Linked DNA regions of Nothobranchius furzeri. The protein of the gene in region 2 purifies or fractionates together with the protein of the main gene of each other region. This does not show direct contact. Links are inferred from orthologs where the notes say so. Each region holds a gene or a part of one and is shown on either strand. Other genes may lie near its edges.

The links. Proteins that work in one complex are often made in the same cells at the same time.
Region 1: the proteins of ptpro (region 2) and dnajb11 purify together in Homo sapiens (affinity purification with mass spectrometry; 3 studies listed by BioGRID and IntAct, with this or other methods). This does not show direct contact. The link is inferred for Nothobranchius furzeri from reciprocal best matches to the Homo sapiens genes PTPRO and DNAJB11.

The regions. Positions count from the first base shown.
Region 1 is NC_091754.1:36,587,096-36,589,716, forward strand, and holds part of dnajb11 (dnaJ homolog subfamily B member 11), read right to left. Parts: intron 405-2,621; coding exon 272-404; intron 180-271; coding exon 37-179; intron 1-36. UniProt on the Homo sapiens protein: As a co-chaperone for HSPA5 it is required for proper folding, trafficking or degradation of proteins.
Region 2 is NC_091741.1:32,996,993-33,001,242, reverse strand, and holds the start of ptpro (receptor-type tyrosine-protein phosphatase O), read right to left. Parts: upstream 2,839-4,250; 5' UTR 2,702-2,838; coding exon 2,501-2,701; intron 1-2,500.

The DNA.
Region 1 (2,621 bases), on a different chromosome or scaffold from region 2:
AAAACATGGATGGTAAACATCTGGACTGAGACTCACTTTACGTTGGGACACTCGTCGCACACGGTCTCCTGAGTCATCTGGAAGCGTCCCGGTCCCAGCTGTGTGGTCTTCATCTCCTGTCTGCAGTTACACTTTCTTTTACCAGGAGCTTCTTTGGCTACAGGCTTGTTACGCACAACCTGCACAACAAAGCAGTTCAGCAAATATTCAGAAAACAAGACACAAAACTAGAAGGCTCTGAAGTTTAAAACAACAAGTCAATTAGGAGTACCTCCACAAAGTTCCCCGAGTACACCTCCTCAAGCGTGACCTCCAGATCAAGTATTATGTCATTTCCTCTGGGGATGTTCTTGTCCTGTTGCTGCCGGTTGCCTCCGAACATGAAGCCAAAGTCTCCAAAGAAGCTTCGCATGGAGAGGAGCAATACCAGTGAGTAAATACAGAGGACAGGTAGTCCACACAACAGCTACCATCTGTGGTGACTGTGTTCCACTACGCTTCTGTGTTTGGAGGAAAACTATCCTAAACACAGTTTTGTGACCTTTTGGCTCTTTTGTAGATTTGTAATTCAACAAATTTGTGTAGAATTTGGTCTGTTCTGCTCAAATAATGAAAGTTAACTTTCCAAAAGCCTTGTCCTAATATCAACAATGGTGTTTAGAGTCAGGAAATCTGCATATTGAGGGGAAAGTGTACATTTAAAAAGTACTAAGATGTTTCAAGTAGTTTATTTTTCTTGGAAAAGGAAACATTTGTAGATGAGTTCTGATGCAGCAAATAAGATACACCCAACTGTGTGCAAGATCGGTTTCTGCTGCTAGAGAACACACATCCTTGGGATTTGCAGACATTAAAATATTTAATCCTTTTTTTTAAATCCAGTATGTTGTGTCATGTGGATTGTAGCCTATACTGCCACCTACTGAACAAATACACTAGCATCCTCACCAGACAGGGCTTCCTTCAAATATAAACCATGCACAGGTACACATGTTCCACCAGTCAGTAAATGCACTGGACAAGAGCCCTGGTGGGCCCAGAGTGGGCCCCTACCACAAAAACTGGAGCTTAAAGAGCAAGTCACCCCCAAACAAACTTTTTTTTGCTGATAAACTAAATAAACGAGTGTCTAATCGTGCTGCAGACACGTGTCGTCAATAATTTGACACTTCAGTGCATCTTAGTTAAAATTTAAATATTCTGTCTAAAACTGTCAGTGTTGTGCCGTTGTCAGGTAAAAACTCTGCACTGTATTTTAATTTAAATCTGCCATCGCTATTGGCTAAGAGGTATGCTATGATGTAAACTGGTACATTATGATGTCACAATGCTGTCGTGAGCCTGTGTGTGTGTGTATTTGTTAGCGGCTCCGCCCTCTCGGTCTGCTAGGCAACAGCATGTGTTGCATTTTTCAAACAGGAAGTGGGAGTTGAGTAAGAATCTGGTAGGGGGTGACTTGCTCTTTAAGGACAATATTGGGCCAAGACGCAAATGTCCCGTTTTTAGCTAAATCTAGTAATAAAGCTACATATCAGTGGTTTTTCTTTGTCTGCTGATGTTCTGTTGCATTGTTTGTGGAAACAAAAGATGATCATTTCAAATCTGCAACAAAAAAAATGCATAGCATTTATAAATACCCTCCACAAACCCTACCACACCCAGATTGATCTGAGTATTCACATTAGTATTTGGTAAACGTATGCCTAAGGGCGGTGCGCGGGTGTGAGGGCCTAAAGCGTAACATGCACCCGGGCCCAGCTTGACCATGCTATGGCACTGGGCCATACCTTGGTCTACCCATACTGTAGTTTTCATCAACACAAGGGATCAGGCTCTCCAACCCTGGTGCTTCCTGTCCAAAATTTGATTTGATTTGCTGCTCCAACAAACCCGATTCAGCTGTTGAATTACCTGTTCAACAGGTCATCCAGCTCTCTGGGAGCCTGTTAACCACCTGCTGACTAAAGTCAGGTGCGTTGAAGCAGAGAAACCTCTAAAATATGCTAGAAGTGGATCACAGTTGGGATCCCTAAAGCAGAAATCCAGAATTTTTTTCTCAGAGGCACCATCTAGAGGCAAAAAAAGTATTGCACATAAAACCCCTCCACCTACTCCCATGATTACAGCTACAAGCAACTCTTATTCATGAATGGGCACCTGTAGCCGGTTAATAGAGCTAAGACAGTGTTTTACATTTATTATTTAAGTGGTGGTGGGTTTTATAGATACACATATATCAGGGTTTCCCCCAGGCTTTGCTTACCAACCCGCCAGGCTAAGCGTCATGCCCCACACCCCTCCCCGACCCTACCGTGTCCGCTGACACGAACGGCGCAACGAAACTTGAGCCCTCCATCAGCTGATACTGGTGAGAACGCAAGATAACATATAGTCAACAAAACTGTTCCTGTTTCAAGGCCTTAAGCGTTCTCTTATCGCTTCTACAGGATTCCTCTTGCCTCCGAATAAAAGTGAACATTTTCAGCTCATATGAGTTACGGTAACTAATCATATAATGAAATTGACCATATGGTTAAATGAAATGTTTTGATTAATCTGTGCTTAGAATTAATAAGAATGAAATTAAATATATGACCCAAATATTTAACCAGCGTACGTGA
Region 2 (4,250 bases):
AGACGTAAGCTCAGCGGTGACGGGGCTTTCTCTGTAGCAGCCCCTAGGCTCTGGGATGAGCTGCCTTCGAGCATTAGGTCGGTCTCTACACTGTCTGGTTTTAAATCTCTTTTGAAAACCTACGTTTATGATTTGGCTTTTAACTCAGCATGGGTCTTTTAAATGTTACTCCCTGAGCCAGGGCAGGTGGTCCAGCGGAGTGTCGATGCACAGCATCCTTCAGTATTCTGCGTCGGCCAGAAGAGGTTTAGGTCTGGGGGGGAGGAGGCTGTGGAGGTTGCTTCTTACGGACTACAGACTCCTGCTGGATGGCATCAGATGGTTGAGAGGGAGCCTGGAGGTATCAGCTGGTCGTTCCTCAGCAAGTGGAGAGAAGCGGTTAGAAAGACTGAGGTCAGGGGGGGGGGGGGGGGGGGGCTCTCCTACGGCCACGTACCACAACCTGTGGCCAAGATGAAAAAGGGTCAGGAGCAGAGCTGGAAGTGGGTAGTCGTGGTGCAGCAGGATCCCAAACAGTGGTGTGGTGGAGCAGAGAGTTCTGATTGGACGTTTCTTTTTCAGACGGACTGATAAGGTCTGGGTCAGTGAAGGAAGACGAGATCTGAAACTATCCAGCAGAGAGTCGTCGTACATCCTCTTTAGCATCTGAATCCTCGTCTTTGCTTTAGAAAGCATCAAGCCGTCGTTGTGGGGCGGAAGGAGAGGGAGGACAGACGTTCAAGACAACTTCAAGGTTGCAGAGCTTTAGCTGAGCTGCCTCCGAATCCAGAAATTGGTGAAAGGATAGAAACTGGTTTTGAGAGGAATTAGAGCACAAAAGAAGGAGCTGACGTAAACACGTCTGCAGGCTTCTTGAGGTGATTGTAGTTCATCATCACCAGGGTGAAAGTGTGTGTGTGCATGGGTGAGTGGCTGATTGTGTTGTGAGGCATCTTGGGGGGTTGTAGAACCCTAAGAAGCTATACAAAAAAAACCCATTTACCATTCTGACCAGATGCCTGAGCCACCTCAACTGGCTCCTCTCGCTGTGGAGGGGCAGCGGCTCTACTCCGAGCCCCTCCCAGATGACCTGTAGCCGTGATCTCGTTCTTTCGGTCACTACCCAAAGCTCATGACCATAGGTGAGGGTAGGAACGTAGATTGACCGATAAATCGAGAGCTTCGCCTTCTGGCTCAGCTCTCTCTTCACCACGACAGACCGGTACAACACCCGCATCACTGCAGATGCAGCACCAATCCACCTATCGATCTCACACTCCAGCTTTCCCTCACTCGTGAACAAGACCCCGAGATACTTAAACTCCTCCACTTGGGGCAGGACCTCATCCCTGACCCGGAGAAGGCATTCTACCCTTTTCTGACCCAAGACCATGGTCTCAGATCTAGAGAAGCTGATTCTCATCCCAGCTGCTTCACACTCGGCTGCGAACCGCTCCAGCGAAAGCTGAAGATCACGTTCTGATGAAGCCAACAGGACCACATCATCTGTTAGCATCAATCCATAAAGTGTATAAAACTTTAAACTTTCTTAAAATATTGTTGTTGCTTCTGATCAAAAAGGATGATTGAAGCAATCCCTTCAGCTGATCTGGTCCCCCTCAGGGAGGAGGACCAGGAGGACACCCCCACCCCCCACAGACCCGTTGCTGTGTCGTGTTGAGATGATTGTTGTTCTCATACCTGCCTTTCCTTTAGTTGTTGCTAGGTTACCACGTTTAACCGGGGCGGGTAATTTTCACTTTAGAAGTGGGGGGGGACACGGGGGGGTGGGGGTGGGGTATCTTTACGGTATGTTCTAATGGGAAACAGGCTTCAACACAAACGGTTGTTTTCTGCTTGGTCCTAAAGCTCAACCAGTGTCAATTTAATATAAAGTAATATTGTTTTTGGATGGTAAAAAGCGCAGGGGTCAAAACTTGACTTTGGAAAAAGTGGGGGGGACATGTCCCCCCTGTCCCCCCCCAAAATTACGTCCATGGGCGGGAGGTAAACCCTGAATCAGAAACGCTTTTATTTGTGCTGCATTGATGCAGCAAGAAAAATCCAACTTCTCCAGGTGAGTGAAGTCCCATCACTGAGCGGAGGCCTGTTTCCTTCCTGAATCATAAATAAACAAAAACAATCTGACAGCTGCTGCTCAGAGCTGGACTGGGCCAGAACCAGAATCCACGGGTCTCAGAACCACAGCGTTCTGATGGATCCGGTCAGAGGCCAGAGTTCAGCCCGACCATCATCAACAGACACATCAGAACCAACATCCGGTTCTGATGAGGCAGAAAACAGGCCGGTATGGATGTGGTGCGCGTGCACGCCTGTGTGATGTTCAGTGATGCTGACGAACCTGCAGGATCCAGTCAGGCTGCGGCCGACTGACCCACTTCCTACGGAACCAACGAGCTGCTGGCTGCCTGCGGGCCGAACCGGCGGGTCCACACACACACACACACACACACACACACACACACGAGGCGGTTTCTGACCGAACCCTGCGTGTCCTCACCTGGACGGAGGCGAGCAGGATCCCGGTGAGGAGCAGCGGGACCAGCATGATGCGGGTCCGGGTCTTGGGGTCTCTAGAGTCCGGCCTGCTGGATCTCAGTCTGCTGCATCCAAACAAAGACGGTCCTTCTTCTGCATCGGGCGATGCTCCGCGACCCGAACCGTTGTGAGGTTGCGATCCGCTCCAATGGTTTCGCTTCATCTACATCTTCCTCAACCGAACCGAGCCTGCTGAGACGGACTGGAGATGGGCCGGACTCTAGGGTCCATTCCGGGGGCTGAAGACTAGCAGGAGGTCGGTGTCGGTGAACGGGATGGAGCTGCAGCGCGACGAGGCCCCGCCCTGAGCGGGGGGAGGAGGGAGGGGGTCATGACGTCTCGTGGAGCAGATAGGAAGCCCTGTCCCTGTCAGAGTCCTGATGGGTCCAAGTCTGGGTCAGGACCACTGTACTCTCCACAGGATACCATCTATGAGTAGCTCTGACCCAAAAGGTTCTGGCAGACTGTAAAGACTGGAAAACACCAACAAGTCCTCACACCTGCCAAATGCAGTCTAATCAGAGGGCATTGCTGTCTCAGAGAAAACTAAAATGGTAAATTCCTTCAGTAATCTTTATCAAGTCCAGCCATGTCTTTGCAACAGCTTCACTCGTCTCCGGGGTCTCTGACCTCGACTCAGCTAAGCAATGATTCCCTCTCCACACCCAGTTCCTGTTTCTCCGTTCAGGTGTTTCAGGTAAACGAGGTACTCGGGTTAGATCCTCATAAATCAGCTGGACTGGATACTCTGGATCCTTTCCTTCTGAAATAGCAGCACGTGTTATTGCTGCACTTACCCATCTGTTTAACCTGTCCATACAAACTGGTGCATGTCTGCAGGACTGCTTCAGTTACTCCACTCTTTAAAGTGACCAGTGACGACATGTTTTTTCTTTTTTTTTTGAAAGATGGCGCCGGTGTGTGTGGCAGCTCGTCTATTGCTCCTGAAGCTTTTTTTCTGCTTCATGTTAGTTTTTCTTTCCTTGAAATTTAGCAGTTCTATCCGGGTGTATGATCGTAAAACCTTGCTCGGGATTCGCCAAGCAGCTGAGGGCTTATCGTTCTCTGGAGGTTTTGGTCAGAATGGATCGCCACTACTGGATGGTTCTTTGGGCTGCGTGTGCTACGTGGCAACCTTACCTTGATGGAGGAGGCGCCGGAGACGGGGGAAGCGTGCCGGATGCTGGATGAAGCTGAGATCGGCTCGACGTGGAACGTTGGATGCTGTGTGTGGAGTTGTGGGCTCAGAGGGGGACGGTGGGTCGCCGGAGCACCAGTTGGATCCGGTGCCGTTGAATCTGGCGGCTTCCAGATTGGTATCGGTGGTGTGCGGCGGCGGGATGATACAGTCGCGGCGCCCTGCACCACAGCGGCGAGCGTGCGGGAGAGGAATTCACCGACAAAATCTACTTGAGGTGATATGTGAATCAGCAGAGCCCTCGCCAGTGAATCCAGAAGAATTGACTGTAACAGCATCTTCTTCCGTCATCAGGTTTGCTCTGTCTAACGCCAGATCTATTATGAATAAGACTTTTATTCTGAAGGATTTTATTGAAACAAATGGTCTGGAGTTCCTGTGTGTTACTGAATCCTGGGTCCCTAAAGATGAAACTGCTGCTTTTGTGGAGCTTCTCCTGGATGATTTTACATATTTTAGTGTTCCGAGACCCTCGGGGCGTGGTGGAGGATTGGCAGTGATATTTAAGTCATCA